Anolis sagrei: one gene and its partners. The protein of the gene in region 1 interacts with the protein of each later gene in a pairwise test. Links are inferred from orthologs where the notes say so. Each region holds a gene or a part of one and is shown in the gene's direction. Other genes may lie near its edges. The genes, in order: CCDC57, TMEM100, tyrosine-protein phosphatase non-receptor type substrate 1-like and SFI1.

Evidence for each region.
Region 2: the proteins of CCDC57 (region 1) and TMEM100 interact in binary tests that used the Homo sapiens proteins (3 or more experiments, as listed by UniProt). The two-hybrid records come from large-scale screens. The link is inferred for Anolis sagrei from reciprocal best matches to the Homo sapiens genes CCDC57 and TMEM100.
Region 3: the proteins of CCDC57 (region 1) and tyrosine-protein phosphatase non-receptor type substrate 1-like interact in a two-hybrid assay, tested with the Homo sapiens proteins (2 studies listed by BioGRID). The two-hybrid records come from large-scale screens. The link is inferred for Anolis sagrei from reciprocal best matches to the Homo sapiens genes CCDC57 and SIRPA.
Region 4: the proteins of CCDC57 (region 1) and SFI1 interact in a two-hybrid assay, tested with the Homo sapiens proteins (2 studies listed by BioGRID). The two-hybrid records come from large-scale screens. The link is inferred for Anolis sagrei from reciprocal best matches to the Homo sapiens genes CCDC57 and SFI1.

What each region holds. Positions count from the first base shown.
Region 1 is NC_090022.1:114,236,406-114,243,296, reverse strand, and holds the start of CCDC57 (coiled-coil domain-containing protein 57), read left to right. Parts: upstream 1-3,882; 5' UTR 3,883-4,016; intron 4,017-4,205; 5' UTR 4,206-4,281; intron 4,282-6,891. UniProt on the Homo sapiens protein: Pleiotropic regulator of centriole duplication, mitosis, and ciliogenesis. Critical interface between centrosome and microtubule-mediated cellular processes. Centriole duplication protein required for recruitment of CEP63, CEP152, and PLK4 to the centrosome.
Region 2 is NC_090022.1:143,440,601-143,448,024, reverse strand, and holds the start of TMEM100 (transmembrane protein 100), read left to right. Parts: upstream 1-4,408; 5' UTR 4,409-4,504; intron 4,505-7,424. UniProt on the Homo sapiens protein: Plays a role during embryonic arterial endothelium differentiation and vascular morphogenesis through the ACVRL1 receptor-dependent signaling pathway upon stimulation by bone morphogenetic proteins, such as GDF2/BMP9 and BMP10.
Region 3 is NC_090024.1:239,827,578-239,835,051, reverse strand, and holds the start of tyrosine-protein phosphatase non-receptor type substrate 1-like, read left to right. Parts: upstream 1-4,469; 5' UTR 4,470-4,945; coding exon 4,946-4,972; intron 4,973-5,043; exon of another isoform or gene 5,044-5,247; intron 5,248-5,625; exon of another isoform or gene 5,626-5,628; coding exon 5,629-5,716; intron 5,717-7,474. UniProt on the Homo sapiens protein: Immunoglobulin-like cell surface receptor for CD47. Acts as docking protein and induces translocation of PTPN6, PTPN11 and other binding partners from the cytosol to the plasma membrane.
Region 4 is NC_090034.1:49,408,920-49,416,424, reverse strand, and holds the start of SFI1 (protein SFI1 homolog), read left to right. Parts: upstream 1-4,501; 5' UTR 4,502-4,756; coding exon 4,757-4,783; intron 4,784-6,209; coding exon 6,210-6,232; intron 6,233-7,505. UniProt on the Homo sapiens protein: Plays a role in the dynamic structure of centrosome-associated contractile fibers via its interaction with CETN2.

The sequences.
Region 1 (6,891 bases):
TCAAAGGGACCAGAAGCCATTTGATCATATGTGCTCATCTGAAACCTTGAATATATACATTCCCAATTCAATATTTTACTCTCCAGAAGGGATGGGAGGATGGGGTACACCTAATTTGCAAAATTATTTTGAGGCCTATCAGTTAACAAGATTGATAGAATTAGATTTTGATGATTCAAGAAGATGGACCAGAATGGAAAAAAAAAACAATTAATGGATGGGATCATTGTTTGTGCTTAAAAGGATGGATTGACAATAAAACTCTAAAAGAAATTAAAGGGGGCCAATGATCTCATCCCTGGAGTGCTGGAAAAAATGGCAAGGTAAATTCCCAATTAATAAAGTAGAGATACTCCCAGTAAGATTTCTAGACAATATACAATGGATGTAGTGTGAAATTAAAATATTGAGGAAAAATACAATGAAATGCCCCCAAAGCTACACTTTTTTTACCTTATTCCTGTTTTTCTATACTCCAAGGGGGACTCAAGGCAGCTTACAGGTGGCATCTCCACAGTGCCTTAAAAACATAGAATACTAACTTAAAAACAAATTGGATTAAAATTAATACGTATTACAAATAATTAAAATGCATTCCTATGTTAAAACACACCATCCAAGGATCGGAGTCTAAGGCCATAAAAAGTTCAGTGGCTTAGTGAGGCTTACACACAGTGGTATAGGTCAGCATCCAGTATTCTGGCCACTATAATGACTAACCACACTGGACAACTATTTCTCTTCATGGTACTTTTGCAAAATCTTTCCAAGCATCAGCCATTGCAGAAAGTGGAATACTGACTAATGAACTTTTGCCCTAACACTGAAGGAATCTTCTGATATTCTTATACTGTATGTTTGTCAAGTATCTCTCTATTCCTTCCCCTACCTCACACTTGACAAGAAATATATTCACCTGTGTTACAGTAAGCAAGAAGTAAACCAGATTCACATAGTATTCTATGTTGGAGGCCTATCTGAGGATTGTTGTTACGTGCCCTCTATCATGAAGTTTTCTTGGCAAGGTTTGTTCAGAGAGGGTTGCTTTTGCTTTCCTCTGAAACTAAGGGCCCTTCCACACAGCCCTATATCCCAGAATATCAAGGCAGAACATCCCACATTATCTGAATGTGGACTCTGATAACCCAGTTCAAAGATAATGTGGGATTTTCTGCCTTGATTTTCTGGGATATAGGTCTGTGGAAGGCCCCCCAGAATATCAAGGCAGAAAATCCCAAAATATTTGCTTTGAATTGGGTTATCTGAATTCACATTCAGATAATGTGGGAGTTTCTGTCTTGACATTCTGGAATATAGGGCTGTGTGGAAGTGCCCCTAGCCCAACATTCAAGCCACTGTGACACATTGGTTCTCTATTGGTAGTATACATCTAAATAATCATTTGTAGTCTCAGGGCCCTTCCGCACAGCCCCATATCCCAGAAAAATAAGGCAGAAAACCCCACATTATCTGAGTGTGAACTCAGATAACCCAGTTCAAAGCAGATATTGTGGGATTTTCTGTCTTGATGTTCTGAGATATAGGGCTTTGTGGAAGGGCACTGAGTCCACACTCAGATAATGTGGGATTTTCTGCCTTGATATCCTGGGATATAGGGCTGCGTGGAAGGGCCCTGAGCCTCAAAGGAAGACAAAGGCAAAAGCAACCCCCCACTTAAACATTATGCCAAGAGAACTGCATTATAGGTTTGCCTTAGGATTGCCATAAATCAGAAATGACTTGAAAGCACACAGCAACAAGAATTTAAATAAATGAATAGCATCCAAATAGAGTTGGTAGCCTAGCAACCCTTGAAGTACCCAAAAAGGCTACTAAAATGGATCTGAGATAATACTCAATCATCACCATAAAAGGGTAATAAGGCCCCTTCCACACAGCTGAATAAAATCTCACATTATCTGCTTTGAACTAGACTATATGGCAGTGTGGACTCAGATATCCCAGTTGAAAGCAGATATTGTGGGATTTTCTGCCTTGATATTCTGGGTTATACAGCTGTGTGGAAGGGCCCTAAGAGGAATCTTCAATTTTTTACAAAGTCTGAGTCTGGAGTAATGGCATGTAAAGCATGTAACAGTGGGTTACTGTGAGTTTTCCGGGCTGTATGGCCATGTTCTAGAAGCATTCTCTCCTGAAGTTTCACCCACATCTATGGTAGGCATCCCATACAGCCCGAAACTCACAGCAGCCCAGTGAATCCGGGCATGAAAGTCTTTAACAACACAAGGTATATAACAATCCAGCTCTGTAGTTCAGACTTAGCCTCTTTCTCCCTCTGATATTAATTCTCATAAACTATTGGTAAAAATGAATAATCCTCTCCTCTTGATCATCCAGTCAGGAGCAGACTAAAACTGAAAATGGCCAAAAGTCTGTTTACAATTTTCAAAAGAGTCACAATTTTCAAAAGAATAATTAAAAGACGCAGGGATAAACTGCACCTGTTTAAAAAGAGATTTAACAGTTTTGAGGGATTACTAGAATGGCATTTTTTCCCTTTTTTGCTGAAAATCTGCTTTTGCTAGGAATTCTTAATCTTGTTTGATATTATCGCCTAAGTTTTATTGTTTTATACCCCACAATTTTACTATTTTATAGTCCTGTGCTAACAGCTTTATAGTTTTAATGGTTTATTGACTATTTACAACTTTTAATTACACAGATTAATTGCTTAGTTGCTCACTGTTTGGTTGCTCTGGGAGCGGCTGCTTGTAAGAGGGGTTTTGCTGCTGATCAATGTTTAACCTCCACTTTCTCTGTGAATAACAGGCCCTTCATGTGAACAAAAAGTCTTGCTGTTGGGTCTGCCTTTTGCTCTGTCATTAGCATGACAAAAAGGGGGAAGGGATTAACTAATCCACTAACACCAGAGATCAAACCATCTCTAACAAAGCAAACTGAATGACTATATTGCACTGTAGACTTTATTTGCATTTGACATTTCAAGGAAAAATAGGTTTGCACCTTTAGCAAAACCAGGTGATGTTAGTGTTTTAACACAAAGACGTACAGACGGCGTTCCCAGGAAACCTACTACACTTTATACTGAACAGTGTTTGAATACTCACCATTTGCCTCCTTCCAGAGGTTGCTGTTGTCATTGTGTGCCTGCAAGTAATTCATTGACAAAAATATTGTCCAGTCTTTCCCATAATTTACCTCTGGAGTCAAAAGTTGATTTTACATCCATAAAAGTACCAGGCAATTTGACTTGCAGAGGTCTACAATATTGGGTTGCTGTGAGTTTTTTGGGCAATGATATTTATTTATTTATTTATTTACTGTATTTGTATACCACCCTTCTCAACCCCGATGGGGACTCATGTATAGGCATGTTCCAGTAGCATTCTCTCCTGATGTTCCACCTGCATCTATGGCCGGCATCCTCAGAAGTTTGTTCAGAGGTCTGTTGGAAATGAGGCCAGTGGGGTGTATCTGTGGAATGCCCAGCGTGGGAGAAAGAACTCTTGTCTGTTTTAAGCCAGAGTGAATGATGCAATTAGCTGGCAATTAGCTGGCCAGTGTGAGTGATGCAATTAGCTGTAAAGCTTGGCAGTTGCTGCTTGGGGGCATCCTTTGTTTGGGAGGTATAAACTGAAACTTGATTGTTAGCTGTCTGACATTCCCATTTCTGATTAGTGTTCTTTATTTACTGTCTTAATTCTGGTGGTTTTTTTAAATACTGGAAGCCAGATTTTGTTCATTTTCATAGTTTCCTCCTTTCACTTGAAATTGTCCACATGTTTGTGGATTTCAGTGGCTTTTCTGTGTAGTCTGATATGGTAGTTGTTGGAGTGGTCCAGCATTTATGTGTTCTTAATAATATACTGTGACCAGCTTGACTCATCAAGTGCTCTGCTATAGCTGACTTCTCAGATTGAAGGAGTCTGCAGTGTCTTTCATATTCTTTGATTTGTGTTTGGACAATGCTGTGCTTGGTGGTTCCTATGTAGACTTATCCACAGCTGCATGGTATACAGTAGACTCCCGCAGAGGTAAGAGGATCCCTCTTGTCCTTTGCTGAACGTAGCATTTGTTGGATTTTCTTGGTGGGTCTGTAGATTGGTTGTGTTTCTTCATCAGCTTCCCAATGCAGTCAGTGGTTCTCTTAATGTATGGTAAAGATACTTTTCCTTTGGGTGGATCTTTGTCTTTACTCTCATGGCTTGTTTTTGGTCTTGCAGCTCTTCTGATGTCTGTAGTGGAGTATCCATTGGTCTGTAGAGCCCAGTTAAGGTGGTTCAGTTCACCTTGGAGGAGGTAGGCTTCGCATATTATGTTTGCATATTCTGTCAGAGCTTTAGTTGTGTTTCTTTTTTTGACATGGGTGATGGTTGGCGTTGCTGCCTGGGGGCTGTTGCTGCCCCCAGGAAGCAACAGCCAGGCTTTGCAGTTGCAAGACTACTCAATGCCAATCAACATGGCTAATTGCAAATGACCTGTGTGATTTTGATAATTACAGCATTGTTGTTGTTGTGTTTTTTTGTTTTGTTTTTGAGGCAGTCAGAATGAGAAAACTTCTGTGTTAGGGAGGGGAAACGTGAAACAAACACTGCCTATATGACATGATCCAATTGCTTTTAATTCATTTTATATGTTGTGAACTTGAATTTGTAGGATCTATAGACAGTAATCGTTGTTGAGTAATTAAGATATTTGCAAATGAAATGGATGCATTGTCAGGAAGCAGCTAGACACTGTGACAAAACAAAAAGCTTTGGGTGAGGAAATATGATCCCCAGTCCTCATCTGTATCAGGGCTGAAAACATTTACTTTAGAGTTTATAAAAGATTGGGATCTTAAAGTGCATGTTTCACGTTTAATTTGCTTGTAGTTAACCCCAAAATCATAATAAAATTAGCTGTGAGAGTAAAGGCAGCATTACATCTTTAAGTTTTGGTTACTTACTGGAAGTATGAAAAACTAATGCAACCTTTTGGCAAGCAGCCAAGCCCAGATATATGAATCATTCTGAGATATTTGTTCTGTACGTGCCGTTAGTCTTTTTCTCTCTTTTTCTCTCTCCGTCTTTGGCAGAAACCTGGCTTTGTACTTATGATACACTAAATTTTCAGTTGATTGATGGATCATGTGGGTGAAAGGCAGGGCAGCAATTTGGACACAATGTCTTCTGCTTCCCTGCGATTCTGTGATTTATTGCATAAAGAGGAAGAAATTAATAGCGAATCGAGCTGTTTGATAAACAAAAGGCCACAATTTACCTGATTAACCAGAGATCTCCAGCAAGCTAATAGTATTTAACTGCTATTTAAATAACCTTCCTCAGTGTAGGTATCTAATCCTCATGAGATTAGAACTGATGAGACAATCACTACCTTCCTCATCCATATCCAGCTTCCTCCCCCGCTTGCCCCCCTCCAGCTCAGAGGCACGCAAAAGATAGAAGTACCTCTTCCTAAACAATTAACCATTTCCTCTTTAACATATTAGAAAATCCTTTTATAGGAAAATAGAACGCAAAGTGGTGGTAAAACAAACAGGAAAATAATAGGCTTGATTCCCATAAAATTCCTTTGCTGGGGAAAAAAAGCCTAAAAGCACCCTAATTCCAGCCCCGCATCAATAGAGTAAGTACATTGATACTTCTGAGCTATGTCTCTAACTATATGTGTCTTCTCAATAAGAGAATGTAGACTTGCACTCATAAATGTGCTTCTATCAGTGTATCTACACCAGACGCGGGCAAACTTTGTCCCTCCAGGTGTTTTGGACTGCAACACCCACAAATCCTAACAGCCGGTAGCAGCCCCTGGCAAAAAAAAGTGTTCTGCGACCGCTTACTTCGCGTAATGGATGAGCCGTCCCTGCTTATAATCCACATCATTCTGGATTTTACAGTTTGTGTAAATGGGGACTCAATAGAATAAATACAAAACCACTCTTTCCCCCATCACTACCACAACACTGCCTAAAGTACTTCTAAAGTTTCAAACATTTTAGCCTGCCACTACTAAGCAAAGAAACAGAAACACAATCTCTGAGCTCACCTTGTAATCAACTTGTTACTACACAAATTACAATTACAGTCCTAGGAGGTTCCTGTCTCTTGAAATTAGTGTCATGTTACTCTAGTTAAAGAGACAGGAAACCTCTAGGACATTTTATTTTATTTTATGACTGGTATCCCTTTGCTCTATTCTCAGAATCAGAATACTTCAAGAGAACACATTTTCCTTTGGCAAGTGACTCTCTATAATGCTGAAATTAGTGTTAATCTGAGCAATCACTGTAGGAAATTAGTCATAACATTTCCAGTCAGACAGGTCATTGTGGCTTACTGAACAAGAAAGTGAGCCTTGAAATCCCCATGTAGCCAGTTCAGTGACTATACATTGCATCAGAACTCTTATGAAAAGCCATGTTCAGCTCCACTTTACCCCACTTTTCGGGTTTTTGTGGAGGAAGAAAAAAGGTTTTATGCCTTAGTTTCCTACTGCAGGAAATACATGTTTTGACACACTTTTATCCAACACTCTTTTTTCCCATTGAAGACATTTTTAGGCTGGATCTACACTGTCATATATTGCAGTTTCAGAACGTGGATTAACTACATTAAACTGGATTATACAAGTCGATACTGCTATATAATCCAAGTCAATGCAGCTAATCCATGTTCTGAAACTATACTATATGGCAGTGTAGATCCAGCCTTAATGTTTCCGTATTGTAATATCATCTGAGAGAAAGTACGTTTTTAAGTTTTGCAGAGAAGCATCACAGGTGATTCCTCTTACATCACATAGTCTTTTGTTCCATTATTTCCTATTTCCTTCACCTATGAATATATTTGCCAATTTAAGAGAACACTTTTACTCATGATTTTAAGCCATAACAATACATAACAAAAC
Region 2 (7,424 bases), about 29 Mb from region 1:
CAGATAATTATAGAGTTGGAAGAGACCACAGGGGCCATCCAGTCCAGGAACACACAAAGCACTCCTAACAGATGGCCATCCAGCCTCTGCCTATAAATCTCTAGAGAAGGAGACTCCGCCAGACTCTGAGGCAGAATAATCCATTGTCCAGCAGCTCTTTCTGTCAGGAAGTCCTTCCCAATGTTTAGGTGGAATCTCTTTTCCTGCTATTTGAATCCATTGCCCCATGCCCTAGTCTCCAAAGCTGCAGAAAACAAGCTTGCCCACTTCTCAGTGCAACATCCTTTCAAATATTTTGATATAGCTATAATGCCCCCCCCCCCCGCCCCCAGTCTTCTTTTTTCCAAGCTAAAGATACCAAAAATTGCTACTTGTAGAGCTTGGGTTCTAAATTTTGATAATTTTGGTTGTTCTTCTCTGGATGTGTTTGAGCTTGTCCACATTTTTCAGAACTGGGCATGGTATTTCAGATGAGGTCTGGCCAAAATAGAATAGGGAGGGACTAGACTAGACTATCGCAACACTTCCTGTTCTTGCAACCTAGAATTGCATTGGCTTTTTAAGCTAATGCTTCTCACTGTTGACTCATCTTTAGTTTGTGATCTATTAAGACTCCTAGATCCCTTTCACACATACCGTTTTCAATCCAAATGTTGCCCATGCCATATCTGTGTATTTCATTATAATTGCCTAAATGTAATACCATACATTTTTCCCTGTTTAAGTCTTCTGAGTAATGGTAAGTTTCAGGACTACATTTCTTGGTGTGGCAAACAGCTGACATTGCTACTTCCCACAAGTATTGTGGAAGTGAAAGTAAAATCTCTTTGATTTAGGCTTTTAAGGTAAAGGTAAAGGTTTCCCCTTGACATTAAGTCTAGTTGTGTCCGACTCTGTGGGTTGATGCTCATCTCCATGACTAAGCCAAAGAGCCAGCGTTGTCTGTAGATGTCTCCAAGGTCATGTGGCCAGCATGACTGCATAGAGTGCTTTTACCTTCCCGCCAGAGCAGTACCTATTGATCTACTGACATTTGCATGTTTTTAAACTGCTAGGTTGGCAGAAGTTGGGCCTAACAGCGGGAGCTCACCCCGCTTCCCGGATTTGAACTTTAGCTCAGCAAGTTCAGCAACTCAGCCACTGTGCCACTGGGGGCTTCATGCTTTTACTTGTAGGTAAATACATGAAATTGCTAGGTGTTGTGATTTAACATTTCATCAAATGTCACCAAAGAAAAGAAAATTGTACATGGCAAATAAAGGAGCTGGTGTCTGGTCCCCTCAGACTTGCCTCCTGGAATGGATGATTTCTATTTAAAAGCAAAGAAATGTAAAAGAAAGGGACTTCATTCCTTGAGTCCATATTCTCATGAAATGAGACATGTTATACATGATGAAGTTCAGCCTCGTTTCCTAGCAGGAATCAGGCAAGCAACCAGCCAAGCCTCCCCCTTTCCTATTCTGTCTGTTGGCATTCTGTGGCCAACATATCTGGTCCTTCTATTTTGTGAGTTTTTTTAAAAAAAAACTTTTGCATGACCCATGTTTCTCCTTGCCTTGCTTGATACCTTGCTCTTCGTTTTGGCTGCCTTTCTGTCACCACTCACCACCTGAGTTCGCTATTCGAGGAAGCGATGATAAAAAGGAAAATATGCCAGTGGTATTCCCTCCAACTCCTTCGTAAGAAATAGATCTGCTCCCTCCTTCCAGCATTCTGGCTCATGGGGCCAAGCAAAACTCAGCCCTTATGTAAGCAGCCTTCCTGAGAGTAACTTGTCCTGGTCAATAATAGATAATTCTTGAGGGCGGGTGTCTTGCGAGAGAAAAAAAGACTGTGATTTTCTAAAGAAAGTCTGTATCTACACTTCTTTGGGAGACCCATGGAAGCTGTTCAGGACCCTGAACGAAAGCGCATCCGGTTTGTTTTCAACTAACGGAAACAAATATTGGGGGAAAAAGAGCTATTACAGGTTTTTCTTGTCAAGATTTGTTTGCCATTGTCTTTCCTTGAGGCTGAGAGAGTGTGATTTTTCTAGTGTCACCCATGGGTTTCCACAGCTGTGGAGGGATTTGAACCCTGGTCTCCCAAAGTCCTAGTTTAACACTCAAATTACTATTCCAGATCTCTCATCTATTTATATAGGAGCCCCCAGTGACACAATAGATTAAACCCTTGTGCCGTCAGGACTGAAGACCAACTGGTCGGAGGTTTGAATCTAGGGAGAGCGCAGATGAGCTCCCTCTGTCAGCTCCAGCTCCCCATGCAGGGACATGAGAGAAACCTCCCACAAGGATGGTAAGACATCAAAAACATCCGGGCGTCCCTTGGGCAACGTCCTTGCAGATGGCAAATTCTCTCACACCAGAAGTGACTTCAGTTTCTCAAGTCACTCCTGACATGAAAAAAAATCGTTTTAGATAGTGCACTCCAAGTGAGCAAGGCTCATAATTATTTATTTATCGTGTCAGGAGTAACCAAACATTTGTATTACATTTTTTAACAAACAGACAGACAAAACACAAAGTTTGCAAGCTTGGTAGTTGATTATATGTCCTTTGACCAATATCTGGCCAATAGGAGTGTCTCTGGTGTTGCTGCAAGAAGCGACCAGAAGTGAAGGCTCATAATGTACGTTGTTTATTTACTTATTCCATTTGTGTCCTTCTTTTCCTCTAATGAGTTTCTTTGTAAAAAAGAGGCTTGCTTTGGGTCTCTTTAGAAAGATAAAGCAGGATAGAAATAGTAATAATAACAACAACAACAACAATTCTTGCTGCCCAAGAACAGGCAATTAGAACAAATGCCATCAAAGCCAGAAATGAAAAATCGATGACAGAGCCCAAATGTAGACTCTGCAAGGAAGTAGAAACAATAGATCACATTGGGTTGTTGTAGGTTTTTTCGGGCTATATGGCCATGGTCTAGAGGCATTCTCTCCTGACTTTTCGCCTGCATCTATGGCAAGCATCCTCAGAGGTAGTGAAGTGTTTTGGAACTAGGAAAAAGTGTTTATATATCTGTGGAATAACCAGGGTGAGACAAAGGACTCTTGTCTGCTGGAGCTAGGTGTGAATGTTTCAGCTGATCACCTTGATTAGGATATAATGGCCTGACAGTGCCTAGAGCAAACTTTTGTTGAGAGGTAATTAGATGTCTTTGTTTGTTTTCTCTCTGTTGTTGTGCTGTTGTAATAGATCACATCCTCAGCTGCTGTAAGAAGATTGCGTAGACAGACTACAAGCAGAGGCATAACACCTTTGCTCAGATGATTGATTGGAACTTGTGCCACAAATATCATCTGTCTGTGACAAAGAATTGATGGGATCACAAGCTTGAAAAGGTTACAAAAAATGAGCAGGTCAAACTACTCTGGGACCAGGCATGTAGCCGGGGGGGGGGGGGGCCTCGGGGGGCTTCAGCCCCCCCCCCCCCGAAATTCTCATGGTGGTTCGTGAAAAGGCCTTACTGGCGCATTATTTAAACTGTTATGTTTATTCATATCATGATCTGATCACCATACTCAATATATCCCATATGCATGGGGGTATTGGGGTAATGATACAAAAGGTTTGCTAGGCTAGACCCTCTTTCACTCAGACTCAGCCCCCCCCCCCGAAACTCAGCCCCCCCCCGAAACCCCCCCTGAAAATTTTTTAGCCCCCCCATCCCCCCCCCCCCCCCCCCCGAAACGAAATCCTGGCTACGGGCCTGTCTGGGACTTCCAAATTCAGACTGACAGAGTTTTGAAGAACAATACTCCTGACTTCACAATCATGTTGAAAAACAAAGTATGGATCATGGATGTTGCAATCCCAGATGACAGCAGGATTGAAGAGAAACAACTGGAAAAGCTGACATGATATGAGGATTTAAAGATCAAACTGCAAAGACTGTGGTACAAGCCAGTCAAGGTGGTCCCAGTGATCGGCACACTGGGTGCAGTGCATAAAGACCTTGGCCTGCACTTAAACACAATTGGTGTTGACAAAATTGCTTATCTGCCAGCTGCAAAAGACCACCATATTGGGATGTACATGCATTATTTGCCGATACATCACACAGTCCTAGACACTTGGGAAGAGTCCGATGTGTGATCCAATACAACAGCCAGCAGAGTGTCTGCTGTGGACCCATCTTGTTGTGTTTCAAATAATAATAATAATAATAATAATAATAATAATAATAATAAAATTACTGGGGGCCTCATCAAACCGGATTCCAAAGCATTGAATCAAAGCAGTTTAAAGTGTGATAAAACTGGATTAATTCTGCGGTGTAGGTGCACCAAAAGGCGGCTCTGGTTTTGTTCAGCAAGTACCAGTTTGGGACTCCCCCCCCCCCCCCTCCCGTCAAGCAGAGCAGCGCGCGTTCCTTTGAAGCTGGGAACTTGTCCGCGGTCCCTGGGTTCCCTCTGCGGCTGCGCAGTTTGCAGACGCTCCCTTGCGCCTCTCTCCAGACCGGGGCAAGTGCTTGCTCGCTTTACTTCCATTCTGGACGAGGGAAGGTAAGTGGTGGGCTCCGCTGGGCTTCCTGGAGCGGGGAGAAGTTGGGGAAAGTTATCAAAGGTGGTTAGGTGAGGAGAGGGCGAAATATTACAGTGGTTTGGTGGCAAAGCAAGAAAGAAACTTTTGCCAGCAAGGAACTGAAAGTCCCCACAGGGGTCTGCAAAGTCTCTGCTCAATGGAAATGGAGATTGCCAGCAAATGGGAACTTGGTCTCTTCTTGCTCGGGAGCTTTCCAATACAAAGAACAAAAAAAAATTTCTGCTCCCTTTAAAACGATCCTTTTATATCCAAGAGAATGTGTTAATATTATTGTTGTTGTTGTTATCTGGCATACATATCTGGCAATCGTGGTTTTCTCCCTCCAGCCCCTTCTGCTTTGCCATATAATCCAGATTAACAAAGCAGAGAAAACATTTCATGATTCCACACTGACATATAATCCAGTTCAAATCAGATAATCTGGATTTTGTATGGCAGTGTAGAAGGGGCCCCAGCCTGAATTATGCACTCTTTCAATAGGCTGCAATTCTATAAATGCATCTACACTGTAGCGTTGATGCAGTTTGATACCACTTTGACTGCCATAGCTCAAGTGCTGTGGAATTCTGGGATTTGTAGTTTGGGCAGCGAAAACTAAAGACCCTTCCACACAACTTAATAACATCCCAAATTATCTGCATTGAACTGGAATATATGTCTGTGTAGATTCGGATAACCCAGTTCAAAGCAGATATTGTGAGATTTTCTGTCTTGGTATTCCGGGTTATATGGCTGTGTGGACGGGCCCCTTATCAAACTGCAAGTCCCATTTTTCCATAGCATTGAACCATGGCAGAAAAAGCGGTGCCAAGCTGCATTCATTCTACAGTGTAGTAGAGGCACCCTCAATTCAAAAAGTATTCAGCAGGTTAATGTTATTTAGCTATCCTTTAGTTGAAAGACAAGAGTTGCTGGTTTTGAACAGTTTCTTCCATTGGACTATAGATAGATAGATAGATAGATAGATAGATGATTTTTTAAAGTTAGGAAGAATGTGAACGGAAGAGAAGCATGGAAATTTGGTGAATCCTTTGTGCTCTGGATGTCGAAAACCCTTCTAACCTTGGCCCCTTCCACACAACTGAATAAAATCCCACATTATCTGCTTTGAACTGGAATATATGGACTCAAGATAACCCAGTTCAAAGCACATATTGTGGGGTTTTCTGCCTTGATATTCTGGGATATAGGGCTGTGTGGAAGGGCCTCTTGTCCTGTGCGCACAAGATTATACCTTTATGTAATACAATCATATATGACACAGGGAAGTGGTTACGTATGACAGCTTGGTTTCTGTGTGTTTGCTTCTTTGAATAGAGCATCTTCAATTATGTGGATCCGTAATCCACATATAATTTGGGCAGGATGGAGAGACTGGTGAGGTTATTTGTGTAACTCCTTCCCATACCCCTTTATGCAAATAATATTTTTTCCTATTTAGAAATAAGGCTGCAAGTATTTATATACATGTCATCTTGGAAGTAAGTTAGGAAGGGGTTACATGAGAGTAACATACTTTAGATTAGACTTTCTTAACTGCTAACACATTTTGTACCGAACAAGGTTTTTCAGATCTGACTTATCAATATTACTACTGATAACTAATGTCTTTAAAGAAGGGTCGGGAGCCAAACACACTTAGGATGCACCTATATTGTGGAATTAATACAATTTGACACCACTTTGACTGCCATGGCCCAAATCTGTAGAATCCCGATACTTGTAATTTGGTGAAGCATCAGCCCTCTTTGGCAGAGAACTCTAAAAAAAACTTGTAAAACTACAACTCCTGCAGCATTGAGCCATGGTATCAAACTGTATTAACTGTACAGTGTAGATGCAACCTAAGAAGTCGCACGCATCCCTTTAACCCCTCTTTGTGTGCAGTCTTATTGTAGTTATTCATGGATAGATTTTTTTTTCTGTGTCAGGAGCGACTTGAAAACTGCAAGTCACTTCTGGTGTGAGAGAATTGGCTGTCTGCAAGGAAGTTGCCCAGGGGATGCCCAGATGTTTTGCCATCCCGTGGGAGGCTTCTCTCATGTCCCTGCATGAGAAGCTGGAGCTCACAGACTAGGCTTACCCCACTCCCTGGATTTGAACCGCCGACCTTTTGGTCAGCAGTTCTGCCAGCACAAGGATTTAACTCATTGAGCCACTGAGGACTCCATTCATGGAGAGTGATGCTAACTCTCCATATGCTCAGTGGCACTTGTTTTTCTCACTACTTCAGTTCTCCAGCATTTTGTCTGATAGGAGTTTTGGAACTGAGCCGTGGTGTGTCATAGTGCAACACATTAAACCCAAATTGCTTTGATTCAAACCATTTAACATTGTTAAAACTGAAAACATAGAGACATAGTGAAAGACACATGAGAGTTTGGGAGCTTTGTAATTTAATTCAGGAAGATAAATGAAGGATAATAAGTATGCATTATGAATATGTTGTTGGATGTACAGTATTTGAGGATGGGTTGGGGGGCACGGAAATAATTCTTTGCAAAGTCAGATCTGGCAATGGTGACCCATGCCTTGATTATATCCTATTGGGACGACTAATGTTCTCTAAAGGCCCTTCCACACAGCCATATTACCCAGAATATCAAGGCAGAAAATTCCCACAATATCTGCTTTGAACTGGGTTATTTGAGTCCACCCGGCCATAGATTCCAGTTCAAAGAAGATAATGTGGGATTTTATTCAGCCCTGTGGAAGGGGCCTAAGTGGGGCTGCCTTTGGAAAGTGTTCAGAAACTTCCGCTTGTTCAAAATGCCGCAGCCAGGCTGTTGACCAGGGATCATGAAATAGCTCCATTGGCTACCATTCCATTTCCGGGCAGAATTCAAAGTGCTGTTTTTGACCTTTGAAGCCCTACACGGC
Region 3 (7,474 bases), on another chromosome or scaffold:
CCAAAGTTGGAAGAGGGGTGTGCCTACTCATACAAGGGAACTGGGATCGACATTACAATGGGTTGCAAAGAATCTCTCCAAGGTGCTCTCTCAGCTCTCTAGCCTTGAACTTCAGGCCTGACACTGAGGCCACTGGCTGCCCTGAGTTGTCTCCAGAGATAACTTTTTCTTCAATATGCTCAGCTGTGTCCAACTGAATGAAGTGTGTGCACGCACATAAAATTCCTCTTCTTCTTTTCAGTCCCTTCTCTTCTTTCTGTATCCTCTTCCTCCTTCTGTTCCTCTTCTTCCTGGTCCTCCTCCCTCCTGTTTTCTTTCCTTCCTTGTTTATCTTCTGTTGCTTTTTCTCTTAATTCCCCTTCTTTCCGTTCCTATCTCTCATTACCTCCATTTATTCCTCCTTTTTTTGATCTTGCATCCATCCTACTTGTCCCCATTCCCTCTTCCTTTTTGGTAACTCTCCAATCTCATTTTCTCCCCTTCTTTTCCTTCTTTCCCTCCTTTTTCTTCGATGTCTCCTCCTTTTCCTCCTCCTCCACCTTCTGCTCTGCTTCCTTTTTTTCCTCCTTCCTTCCCCTCCTCTATTCCTTCCTCGTCTTTTTTCTCTTCCACCTTCTTTTCCTCCTCTTTCTCCTCCCTCTTTTCTCCCCTCCTTTTCCTCCTTTTCCTTCTATGCCGCCTTCTTTTCCTCCTCGTATTCCTCTTCCTTCACCCTCTGCTCTGCCTTCTTTTCCTCCTTCTTTTCCCTCCTCTTTTTCCTTCCTCCTCTTTTTTTCTCTTCCGCCTTCTTTTCCTCCTCTTTCTCCTCCCTCTTTTCTCCCCTCCTTTCCCTCCTTTTTCTTCTATGCCTCCTCTTCTCCTATTCCTCCTCCTTCACCCTCTGCTCTGCCTTCTTTTCCTCCTTTCTTTCCCTCCTCTTTTTCCTTCCTCCTCTTTTTTCTCTTCCGCCTTCTTTTCCTCCTCTTTCTCCTCCCTCTTTTCTCCCCTCCTTTTCCTCCTTTTCCTTCTATGCCTCCTTCTTTTCCTCCTCCTATTCCTCCTCTTTCACCCTCTGCTCTTCCTTCTTTTCCTCCTTCCTTTCCTTCCTCTATTTCTTCCTCCTCCTTTTTCCTCTTCCGCCTTCTTTTCCTCCTCCCTCTTTTCTCCCCTCCTTTTTCTCCTTTCCCTCCTTCTTTCCCTCCTCCTGTTCCTCCTCCTTCACCCTCTGCTCTGCCTTCTTTTCCTCCTTCCTTTCCCTCCTCTTTTTCCTTTCTCCTCTTTTCTGCCTTCTTTTCCTCCTCTTTCTCCTCCCTCTTTTCTCTCCTCCTTTTTCTTCTATGCCTCCTTTTCCTCCTCCTATTCCTCCTCCTTCACCCTCTGCTCTGCCTTCTTTTCCTCCTTCCTTTCCTTCCTCTATTTCTTCCTCCTCCTTTTTCCTCTTCCGCCTTCTTTTCCTCCTCCCTCTTTTCTCTCCTCCTTTTTCTCCTTTCCCTCCTTCTTTCCCTCCTCCTATTCCTCCTCCTTCACCCTCTGCTCTGCCTTCTTTTCCTCCTTCCTTTCCCTCCTCTTTTCCTTTCTCCTCTTTTTTCTCTTCTGCCTTCTTTTCCTTCTCCCTCTTTTCTCTCTTCCTTTATCTCCTTTCCCTTCTTCTTTTCCTCCTCCTATTCCTCCTCCTTCACCCTCTGCTCTGCCTTCTTTTTCCTCCTTCCTTTCCTTTCTCTATTTCTTCCTCCTCCTTTTTCCTCTTCCGCCTTCTTTTCCTCCTTCTTTTCCGCCTGCTTTTCCTGCTGCTCCCCCTCCTCCTTTCCCTCCTTGTCTTTCCCCTTCTTTTCCTTCTCTCCTCCTTCTTTGCCCCGTCTCCCTCCTTTCCTCTCCTCCTCCCTTTGCTCTGCCTTTTCTTTTCCTCCTCCCCTCCCCTCCTCCTCCTTTCCTCCCTCCTTTCTTCTTGCCTCTCTCTCACCTCCTTTCCCTCCCTTTCCTTCCTCCTAAAAGCAGGAGAGCCACCAAGGCGGGGGCGTTTCCCCCCCTTGTCCCCATCTATCCCTCCATCCATCCATCCCTCTATCCTTTCCAGCCCACCTTAAGGCCCCCCCTCCCATGTGCGGCTGATGCCAGGCAGGCAGGGGTGACCTTACCAAAAAGAAAGGAAGACAGACAGAAAGAGAGAAAGAAAGAAAGAGAGAAGCCTCCCAAACAAAACAAGTTGCCCGGGAGGGAGAGGACAGCAAGCCGGCCCGACCACAAGACTCCCACATCCCCCTGCTTTGCAAGAGATTCTTCCCTTCTCTTCCTCCCTTCTCTCGGGTCCAGCAAACTCGCCAAAGCGGCTGGGGAAAAGCTTGGGCTCGGTCTCCCGCTGGGGAGGACGCTGGGCAGGCCTCCCCCCTCCCCGACCCCCAAAAAGAACACCCCCCTTTCTTTCCCCCTGAAGTGGCACATTGTGAAAAGAAAGCCGGAGGCCCCTCAATGCTAGGCAACGGCGGAGGGGGGAGAGAGGGAGAGGAGCCCGAGAGGAAGGCGGGAGGCTGAAGAGAGAGACGCGGGAGGGCACCGGACCCGGGGGGGGGGGGGCACCGAGGTGAAGAGACCCTTCTGCCCCCTTGATTGCCCTCTCCTTCGGTGGAAGGGAGCCTGCCAGGAGGGACACTTGACCCAGGCACCCTTGGCACCTTCTCTGCTTCCTTGGGCAAGAAGAAGACCTCTCCTTGGAGGAGGAGGAGGAAGAAGAAGAGGACACTGCTGGAGAAGACACACTTGGCACCTCCTCTGCTTCCTTGGGCAAAAAGAAGACCTCTCCTTGGAGGAGAAGGAAGAAGAAGAAGAGGGCACTGTTGGAGAAGACACCCTTGGCACCTCCTCTGCTTCCTTGGGCAAGAAGAAGACCTCTCCTTGGAGGAGGACGAAGAAAAAGAGGGCACTGCTGGAGAACACAGGCACCCTTGGCACCTTCTCTGCATCCTTGGCACCTCCTCTGCTTCCTTGAGCAAGAAAAAGACCTCTCCTTGGAGCGGGAGGAAGAAGAAGAAGGGGGTACTGCTGGAGAAGACACCCTTGACACCTCCTCTGCTTCCTTGGGAAAGAAGAAGACCTCTCCTTGGAGAAGGAAGAAGAGGGCACTGCTGGAGAAGACACCCTTGGCACCTCCTCTGCTTCCTTGGGCAAGAAGAAGACCTCTCCTTGGAGAAGGAGGAGGAAGAAGAACAGGGCACTGCTGGAGAAGACACCCTCGGCACCTCCTCTGCTTCCTTGGGCAAGAAGACCTCTCCTTGGAGGAGAAGGAAGAAGAAGAAGAGAGTACTTCTGGAGAAGACACCCTTGGCACCTCCTCTGCTTCCTTGAGCAAGAAGAAGACCTCTCCTTGGAGGAGGAGGAAGAAAAAGAAGAGGGTACTGCTGGAGAAGACACTCTTGGCACCTCCACTGCTTCCTTGGGCAAGAAGAAGACCTCTCCTTGGAGGAGGAGGAAGAAGAGGGCAGTACTGGAGAAGACCCTTCCTTTACCCCTTTCTTTTCTCCCCACGTTTTGCTCCAGAGGAGGAAGCTGCCCAGGCTGACTTAGCCTTGGCACCTTTGGCACCTCCTCTGCTTCCTTGGGCAAGAAGAAGAAGACCTCTGCTTGGAAGAGGTGCCTGTTAGAGAAGACTCTTCTTTCTGCCCCTTTGTTTTCTCCCCGAAGGAGCAACCTAGTACCCAGGCTGGTACACCTGGCAGTGGCACCCTCTCTGCTTCCTTGGGCAAGAAGAAGAAGACCTCTCCTTGGAAGAGGAGGAGGAAGAGGGCACTGCTGGAGAAAACCTTTCTTTCTGCCCCTTCCTTTTCTCCCCGAAGGAGAAAGCTAGTACCCAAGCTGGTACACCTGGCACCCTCTCTGCTCCCTAGGGGAAGATTTCCTCTCCTTCAAGAGGAAGAAGTAAAGGGGACTGATCATAAGATAAGACCTTTTCTCCTTCTCTTTTTCCCCCACTTGGAGAATTGCCTTGGCACACCTAGCATCCTCTCTGCTGCTTCCTTGGGAAAGATTTCTCCTTCTGCAAGAGGAAGAAGTAAAGGAGACTGATCATAAGAAATCTTTCCTCCTTCTCTCTCTCTCTCTTTCCTCCTTCTCTCTCTCCCCCCCCCCCCCCCTTGCCTTGGCACGCCTGGCACCTTGCTTGCCTTGGCACGCCTGGCACCCTCTCTATTTCCTTGGGAAAGATTTCCACTCCTGCAAGGGGAAAAAGAAAGGGGGACTGATAAGAAGAGAAGGCCTTTCCTCCTCTTTCCCCCCCAACTTAGAGAGCTTACCTTGGCACGCTTGGCATCCTCTCTGCTTCCTTCAGGAAGATTTCTTCTCCTGCAAGATCATAAGAGAAGACCTTTCCTCCTTATCCCCCCCCCCCCTTCTACTTTTGGCTTGGAGAGCTTGCCTTGGCACTCTTTGGCACTTTCTTGGGGAAGAGGAAGAAAAAGGAACTGGTGGAGAAGAAGAAAGACCCTTCTTCCTCCCTTTTTTCCCCCTCCCCCCATTTTGCTCTAGAGGAGGGAAGCTGCCAGGCTTGCCCATCCTAGTGTTTTTTTGGCTTCCTTGGGGAAGATTTTCCTGCAAGAGAAATACCAAGAAGGAACAGAAGCTTGCCTTGGCACTCTTTGGCACTGTCTTGGGAAGATTTCTTCTGGAAGAGGAAGAAAAGGGGGACTGGGGGAGAAGAAGAAAGATCCTTCCCCTCTCTTTCCTCCCCCCCAGTTTGCTCTGGAGGAGAGAAGCTGCCAGGCTTGGCCCGCCTGGTGCCTTTTTGGCTTCCTTGGAAGATATTCTCCTGCAAGAGAAATACAAAGAAGGAACAGGAAAGGGGCATCACTCCTTCCCCTCCCCGGGCTTAGCATGTGAGTGACTGAACCCAAGGACCTTGATCCCAGCCTCTCTGCAACCCCCCTTTGGCTATCATTAGTCTCCCCTGAAACTCCCCAGAGTGTATGCCAACAAATCTATGCGCTGCGCATCAATGTTCTGCCAGGTGAGTGGGCACCAATCTCTCTCTCTCTCTCTCTCTCTTTCTCTCTCGTTCTCTCTCTCTTCCTGTGTTTGTGTACGTGTCTTGCCAGACATGCTCAAGGGTGTTGCAGACTTGGCCAATGCATCATGTGCTGTTCTCTCCCCCACTCCATGCAAACACACACACACACATACAAATGCCACCCCCTCCTTTTGAAAAAGAAAATATATCTCATTTGCAAGCTTTTCTTTATCTGAAAGGGAAGGAAGGGTGGCAAACTTCTGATTCATCAGCTGGTAAAAATAGGTTGGGGCAGGGCTTGGCGGCTTCTTTCTTTCTTTCTTCCCCTCCTCCCCCTTTCTTCTTCTTCTCCCCCTCCTTCTGATTTTTTTTCCTCTTCCTCTTCTTCTTTTCTTCCTATGTTGACAGAGGAAGCCAAGTGGGGCTGGCTTCCTCATTTTGGGGATGGACTTGTGATGTCGTATGCATGTGTGTGCTTCGCCTCCTCTCCCTCCCTCCTTCCCCTGATTCATCTGCCCTTCACACTGCAAAAAAGAGAAGAGAGCCTGCCTTACACAAAACAGCCCTCTCTCCTTTCTTCTGTTTTCATGCAACTCTTTTTTTCTCTCTCTCTTTCTCTGCCCCTCTCTTCTTCTCTCCTGGTTCCTCTCCAGTAGCAGATGAACATGGACGCTGCTCCGGGCATTTATTCCAAAGGTCTGCTGATTTGCTTCTGGGTACCACTGCTGCTTTCGAGATGGTCAGGTAAGGCTCTTCGGAGTTCATGCATTTACTTGTGGGTTTGTTTCTTTGGCTATTTTCCCCCTCCTGTCTTCAGCAAAAGATGCATCTCTTGGTTTTGACTTTGATCATCCCCTTCCTTGTTGTTCTCCTCCTGGACTTCTTCTCCGCATCTCCCTTCTTGTATAATCCTTCTCCTTTGCTTACTTCCAAATTCTCCCCTCTTGTATAACAGGCAAAGTGTGTTTGTGGGGTTTTTTAACAGCTTGTTTTGGGTTTGCTGCTGCGTAGGTTTGCCTTTTCTTAAAGGACCCTCTTTCGGAGTAAACACAAAGTGGATGAGTTGCTGCCATCCAACCTTGGAATAAGAATTGCTTTCAACCCTCCAAAAAATGCCTGTTTATGTTTTGGTGCTGGGTTGTGTGTGCCCGCATGTGGAGGGCAATATTTTCTTTGGTGCCAAAGGAAAAGGCAAAGGGTTTTTAGTGGCAAGGAGGTGCCAAATCTGGGAAAGATGGGGGCAGAGCTGGTGATGAGGACACTGCGAAGTCCATCTGGCATTTGTGAGATGATGAGGAGGTGCCCTTTCCCCACCGAGCTTGCCAACCAAGGAGGCGCAGAGCGGAAAGAGGCTGGGGAGATAAGGCGCTTTATCTTGTGAGTTTGTTATCAAATTAAGGAGGTGGCGATGGCCGTGATGATCATCTCTGCCACTTCCATCCATGGCTTTCTAACAGGCAAAGAGCATTTGATGTGCATTTCCATATGGTTCCCATATAAGGTGGGCTGGCATTGCCCCAATGTTGCCTTGTGGTTTATCAATGCCAAGTCAGCTTCGGCTTATGATGTTCTCATGAATGAAAGATCTCCACCTCTCCCTGTTATCAACAGCCCTGCCTCAGGTTTTGCAAACTCAGGACTGTATGTTGAATCTATTCACCTCTGTAATGTTGCGATTCATTGGTGACAAGCCAACTTGAGTTTATGGCAACCTTATGATTTACAGACCTTCAGTTTATGCATCCCTATGAATGAGAGTCCTCTGCTCAGGTCTTGCAAACTCAGGACTATGTGTTGAATCTGTTCACCTCTGTAGTGTTGTGATTCACTGCTGAGAAGTCAAGTTCAATTTATGGCTACTCTATGATTGACAGACCTTCTGTTTATGGCATGCCTATGAATGGGAGTCCACTGCTCAGGTCTTGCAAACTCAGGACTGTGTGTTGAATCTATTCACCTCTGTAGTGTTGTGATTGATTGCTGACAAGTCAACTTATGGCTACTCTATGATAAACTGACAGACCTTCAGTTTATGGCATACCTATGAATGAGAGTCCACTGCTCAGGTCTTGCAAACTCAATATTATGTTGAATCTATTCACTTCTGTAGTGTTGTGATTCATTGCTGACAAGTCAACTTCAGTTTATGACAACCCTATGAATGACAGACCTTCAATTTATGGCATCCATATGAATGAGAGTCCTCTGCTCATGTCTTGCAAACTCAATAGTATGTTAGATCTATTCACTTCTGTAGTGGTGTGATTCATTGCTGACAAGTCAACCTGAGCATATGGTATCCCTATGAATGACAGACCTTCAGTTTATGGTATCCGTATGAATGAGAGTCCACTGCTCAGGTCTTGCAAACTCAGGACTGTGTTGAATCTATTCATTTCTATAGTGTTGTGATTGATTGCTGACAAGTCAACTTCAATTTATGGCTACTCTATGATAAACTGACAGACCTTCAGTTTATGGCATACCTATGAATGAGAGTCC
Region 4 (7,505 bases), on another chromosome or scaffold:
GAGATGGGCAGGCAGGGGAGGCTCTTCTCTCACTACTGTCTCAAGTGGGGATGAGGGGGGGGGGTTCTCTGTAGTGGCTCTCCGGCTCTGGAATAACCTCCTAAAAGAGATTAGGTTAGTCCCCACCCTTGAATCCTTCCCATCCACCCTAAAAACATGGATTTTTAAGCAGGCTTTTGGCCTCGAGTAGGCTGAAATGGGCCCATCTGAGGTTGACACTTTAGGTGAGAATTGATGGTAGCTAGTTTTAACTACAGATGGCCTGCGTTTTTAAAATTGTGTTGTTTTATTTTATGTGTTGATAGTGGCTGCTTTTATAATTTTTATGCAATGTTTAATACTCATTTATCATTTTATGTTATATACTGCACTTGGAGTGCCTTGTAAGCCGCCCCAAGTCCCTTTCTGGGAGAAGGAGGCGGGATATAAAGTTTATTATTATTTATTAGCATTCTTATAATAATAATAAAATAAGATATTAAAATAATATAACATATAATAATATTATAATACAATAATATATAACATAACATGTAAAATGGAATAATGGTGTGATGTGATAATACTATAGTAATAATTTAATACAGAATAATCTAATAATATACAATAATATGTAATGTAAAATGGAATAACATAATATAATGTGATAGAATAATAATATAAGAACGCAAAGGAATAATAATAATAATAATAATAATAATAATAACTAGCTGTACCTGCCACACGTTACTGTGGCCAATCTTCCCTCCCTCTTTCTCTCCTTTCTTTCTTTCTTTCCCTCTTTTTCTTTTCCTTCTTCTTTCTTCCTTCTTTACCTGTTTCTTTTCTTGCTTCCTTTGCTCTTTGGTTCCATCCTTCCTTGTCTCTTACTTTCCTTCCCTCCCTCTTTCTTTCGTTCCTTCTCTCCTTCCTTTCCTCTTTCACTTTATTTCCTTCTCTCCTTCTTTTTCTCCCTGTTTTTCTCCTTATTTCCTTCCTTCCCCCTTTCTGTGTATGTGTTTTGAGTGTGCATATATGTATGCCTGTATATATTTGTGTATGTGTATATATGTATTTGTATGCATATGTGGTTTTGCACATGCGTTGTAATGTATTTTTTTTTTTGCTTTTTAATTTTCTCCTGCTGTTTTTATGAGTGATGGTCACTTGTTGGCCTGATACGTGTCTTGTGTCCAAATTTGGTGTCAATTTGTCCAGTGGTTTTTGAGTTAGGTTAATCCCACAAACGAACATTACATTTTTATTTATATAGATAGATAGAATAATATAGGGTGATAACAACAGAAATACCATTCAAAATCCGAATATATTTTTGTCGTTCCTGACACGACCCAAAAAAAAAAACCGAATATATGAAAATGTAATAATAGAATGATAATAATAATGTTCCCTCCAAAACCAGAATAAAATAATTATAGAATAATAATTACTAATAGTATACAACAACAATAGAATAGAGGATTATATTAATAATAGAATAGAATTAAAATACAATAAAAGAATAGAATAAAATAAAATAATGTAATGACAATGTATTGTTGAAGGCTTTCATGGCCGGAATCACTGGGTTGTTGTAGGTTTTTTCGGGCTATATGGCCATGGTCTAAAGGCATTCTCTCCTGACGTTTCGCCTGCATCTATGGCAAGCATCCTCAGAGGTAGTGAGGTTTGTTGGAAGTAGGAAAGTGGCCTATATATCTGTGGAAAGACCAGGGTGGGACAAAGGACTCTTGTCTGTTGGAGCCAGGTGTGAATGTTTCAACTGACCACCTTGATTAGCATTTGATTGCCTGGCAGTGCCTGGAGCACTCCTTCGTTGAGAGGTGATTAGATGTCCTTGTTTGTTTCCTCTCTGTCGCTGTGCTGTTCTATAATAATAATAATGGCTATTGGTGTTAATTGTGTATTGTTGTTAATTGTATACTTTTCTATAATATGATGTTAACTGTTTTTTATACCGTGTTATGGTAGCATTGAATTTTTGCTGTTCTTGTTGTTAACCGCTGTGAGTCGCCTAAGGGCTGAGAACAGCGGTATACAAATAAAGTAAATAAATAAATAAAGTAAATAAATATTAATAATAAATATATAAATAGAATATATATATATATATATATATATATATACATACACACATATATATAAATAGAATAGAATATAAATGGGGTTTATATATCTGTGGAAAGACCAGGGTGGGACAAAGGACTCTTGTCTGTTGGAGCCAGGTGTGAATGTTTCAACTGACCACCTTGATTAGCATTTGATTGCCTGGCAGAGCCTGGAGCAATCCTTCGTTGAGAGGTGATTAGATGTCCTTGTTTGTTTCCTCTCTGTCGCTGTGCTGTTCTATAATAATAATAATGGCTATTGGTGTTAATTGTGTATTGTTGTTAATTGTATACTTTTCTATAATATGATGTTAACTGTTTTTTATACCGTGTAATGGTAGCATTGAATTTTTGCTGTTCTTGTTGTTAACCGCTGTGAGTCGCCTAAGGGCTGAGAACAGCGGTATACAAATAAAGTAAATAAATAAATAAAGTAAATAAATATTAATAATAAATATATAAATAGAATATATATATATATATATATACATACACACATATATATAAATAGAATAGAATATAAATGGGGTTTATATATCTGTGGAAAGACCAGGGTGGGACAAAGGACTCTTGTCTGTTGGAGCCAGGTGTGAATGTTTCAACTGACCACCTTGATTAGCATTTGATTGCCTGGCAGAGCCTGGAGCAATCCTTCGTTGAGAGGTGATTAGACGTCCTTGTTTGTTTCCTCTCTGTCGTTGTGCTGTACTATAATAATAATAATGGCTATTGGTGTTAATTGTATATTGTTGTTAATTGTATACTTTTCTATAATATGTTATGATGTTAACTGTTTTTTATACCGTGTTATGGTAGCATTGAATTTTTGCTGTTCTAGTTGTTAACCGCTGTGAGTCGCCTAAGGGCTGAGAACAGCGGTATACAAATAAAGTAAATAAATAATAATAATAATATATAAATAGAATATATATATATATATATATATATAGAATAGAATATAAATGGGGTTTATATATCTGTGGAAAGACCAGGGTGGGACAAAGAACTTTTCTCTGTTGGAGCTAAGACAGAATATATAGAATAGAGTAGAATAACAACAATTCTGTTCTATAATAATAATAATGGCTATTGGTGTTAATTGTATATTGTTGTTAATTGTATACCTTTCTATAATATGTTATGATGTTAACTGTTTTTTATACCGTGTTATGGTAGCATTGAATTTTTGCTGTTCTTGTTGTTAACTGCTGTGAGTCGCCTAAGGGCTGAGAACAGCGGGATATAAATAAAGTAAATAAATAAATAAAGTAATTAAATAATAATAATATATAAATAGAATATATATATATATATATATATATATATATATAATAGTATATAAATGGGGTTTATATATCTGTGGAAAGACCAGGGTGGGACAAAGAACTCTTGTCTGTTGGAGCTATGACAGAATATATAGAATAGAGTAGAATAACAACAATAAAATAATATAATACTGTATTAATAGCTGAATATAATGGTAGATAATAATAGAACATAGAACATAATAGTAAAATAATAGGAATAGTATTACATAATAATAGAAGAAAATATTAATAATATTAGAGAATATTACTAGAACAGAATAATAATGGGATAATAGATTCTGCTCTTCTTCTGCCTCTTCCCATACCATAGAGCCTACCTGGGCTGTGGTCTAGAGAGGCCCCCTGCGCGGGCGCGCGACCTGCGGGGTCCTCCGGAGCCTGCCCGGGAGCGCTGCTCTGCTTCTGCTTGGCCTTCTGCTCCTCCTTTCTCTTCGGGATCCGCCATCAACCGAAAGAAGGCAGGCAGGAAAGAAGGAAGGAAGGCTCCGCGCCCCGCCCCCCGTCCCCTTTTAATGCCCGCCGCGCAGGCGCCGATGACGGCGGCCTGCCGGGGACACACCGGAAGATCAGGCGCCGTTGGTGGGCAGAAGTCTCCTTTCCGCGCAGGCGCGTCGCTGTCCGCCCCCCCCTCCCCGCGCGCTCTTTCGCTCATTCCCTTTGGGCACGCGCAGCACACGCCTCTCGCCTCAGCGTTCTCCCTTTTGCGCATGCGCGTCACTGCTATCGCTTGCTTCCTCGCTCATTCCCCGTGCACATGCGCAGCACGGCCCTCATGTCCAAGGGCTTGCCTCTCAGCTGCACACGCGCAGCGTAATCCTCTCCCTCTGCGTTCTGCCTTTTGCGCACGCGCGGCACTGTTTTGCCCCTTCTCTCGCTTCTTCCCATTGCGCATGTGCTCTCGCCTTAGCGACTGAACGCCTCTCTCGAAAGACATCGTGCGCATGCGCAAACTCCCAACCGCTTTCCTATCGGAGGACCCCACTTTTGGACAGCCTTGTTCGAGGTGCCCTCCGTGTTCGCCTGACGGTTTCGCTACGTCGCCATAGCAACCCTAGCTAGGTGAAAGCGCGGTTTTTTTTTCATAGTGCGGACACGATTGCTAAAGTCTTACTCTAACAAGTTTCTTGTATAAGGAAAGGGAAAGGGATTGCTTTAGGCGTTTGTGATAGACAGTTGGACTCTCCGAGTTTGAATTCGTTGGAAGGAGGGAGGCCTTGTGAGCTATTTCTCCAATTAAATTAGTATTGGGTTGTTGTAGGTTTTTCCGGGCTATATGGCCATGTTCTAAAGGCATTTTCTCCTGACGTTTCGCCTGCATCTATGGCAAGCATCCTCACAGGTTGTGAGGTCTGTTGGAACTAGGAAAAAGGGTTTATATACCTGTGGAATGACCAGGGTGGGACAAAGGACTCTTGTCTGCTGGAGCTAGGTGTGAATGTTTCAACTGACCACCTTGATTAGCATATAATGGCCTGACAGTGCCTAGAGCAAACTTTTGTTGAGGTGGTCATTATTATTATTATTATTATTGTTATTATTATAGATAGATAGAGGTATGGATACATTATTTAAATATTTTAAAAACAAAGTTTTAAACGAATTTAGTAAACCTTTACTAATATTAAAGTGCATTTGTCTTTAATGGTTTAAAGAATAATGTTAATATTACGTATTTTATCATTTTTAAATATTAATTAGTATTCATATTTAATTCTTATTAAATATTGTTAGATTGTTACTATGTGTATAAACCGATTCTCCAGTATTGGAGTTCAATATTCTATATTTTATTCTTATTAAATATTATTAAAATATTTATTTTATTATTGTTGTTTTTAAATTTTAAATCAATTATATTTAATTTATTTGTTTATTATTTTATTTATTATTAAATATTAATAAATGCTTTTAATATTATTTTATTTATTTATTTATCAATATTTTATTGATTCTTATTCATATTTATTATTTATTAAATGTATTATTATTATTTGTTATTAAATATTATTAGATTTTTACTATGTATATAAACTGATTCTTTATTTATTTATTTATTTCATGGCTCAGGGCGGCCTCACACAAGCACCATACGATGTCAACAAATAAACAATTCGAAGTACAATTAAAGCATTAAAAACCATTAAAACACTAAAAATAATTCAAGCCCATTATACAGTTCATTAGACAGTAGATTATACATGCCGGTAAAACCAAAAAAGTCAGATTCAATGTCATAAATATCCTAAAATCTCTATGTTTTTATCCTATATATTTATATTTTAAATGTATTTCTAAATTATTTAAATTGTTTCTTTCAATAACTTCTTAAACCCTTTTTAAAAAGTTAAGTGATGAAACAATAATTTTATTAAAGTATATTATTATAGTTTAATATTATGTAGTGGGTTAGACCGCTGAGCTGCTGAACTTGCTGATTAAAAGGTTGGTGGTTCGAATCCAGGAAGCGGGGTGAGCTCCCGCTGTTAGGCCCAGCTTCTGCCAACCTAGCAGTTCAAAAACATGGAAATGTGAATCGATCAATAGGTATCATTTTGGCGGGAAAGTAATGGTGCTCCATGTAGTCATGCCAACCACATGACCTTGGAGGTGTCTACAGACAATGCCGGCTCTTCACCTTAGAAATGTAGATAACCCCCCCCCCCCCCAGTGGGACACAACTAGACAATGTCAGGGGAAACCTTTATCTTTTTATTATGTATTTATTATTTTTATTATTTTAATATTTTATTGTTTTCTTATTATTATTATTTAGATGGAGAAAACCTCAAAGAAAAGGTAAGAAAAAGCATTATTTTGTTTATTTAATTTATTTAATGATTTATTTCTCTTATCTGATTGAAGCAATAATTTAAATATTAACATATTTTATGTATTAAAATATTTTAAATACTAAAATAATATTTTAAATACTTATAATGTTTTAATATTTCAAGGCCTAAGGTTTTATTTAATGATTTGTTTGTTCTCATTTATTATTATATTAACATGTATTATGATATTACATTATTATAATATTTAATGCATATTTATCATTTTAAGGTATAATTTTAATTTTGTACTATATTTCATTATATGATGTATAATTTATGTTATATATTTGAATATTTCTTTGTAGTCATTATTTTAGTATTACAGTATTTATTGTTATTAAGAAGTGGACTGTTTTTAATTAAATCCTTATAATGGTTTTTGATTACTAATATTATGTTTTAAAGCATGTTTTAATTTCTGTAAATATGTGAATATATCTTTATGTAATATATATATGGCATTTGAGGATTGAGTCAATAACCCTTGTCCACATGGAAGGATGGCGATGAATTGTGACTGTATTGACAACTTGGCTTGTGTAATGTGATGATGATGTTTTTATTGTACTTATATTTTAATATATAATGATGATGCATTGTGCTGTATTGTATATTACTGTATATGAACACATGTTGTGAACCAGCCTGAGTACCTTCTTGGAGGCGAGAAGACTGGTATATAAAACTTTTAAATAAATAAATATAAATATGACATAATTATGAATATTACACCATGTCTGTCATTGCTGGGATTCATTATGCTCTCTGGATGCAGAATGTTCTCTTGGCCTTGTTGGGTCTGTGTGTCAAACTTGGTTCAAGTCCATCACAACTCCCACGAGGGTAGGTCAGTCCACGCCAAACCCCTCCAGTATGTTCGGTTGGTCATGAAGGATCTGTGTGCCAAGTTTCATAGAATCATAGAATAATAGAGTTGGAAAAGAACTCGTGGGCCATCCATTCCAACCCCATTCTGCCAAGAAGCAGGAAAATCGCATTCAAAGCCCCCCTGACAGATGACCATCCACCCTCTGTTTAAAAGCGTCCAAAGAAGGAATCTCCACCACCCTCCGGAGCAGAGAGTTCGACTGCTGAACAGCTCTCACTGTTAGGAGTTCTTCCTAATGTTCAGGTGGAATTCCCTTTCCTGGAGTTTGAAGCCATTCTTCCACGTTCTAGTCTCCAGGACAGGAGAAAAAAGCCTGCTTCCGCCTCCAACTTCCCCTCACCTCTTGATC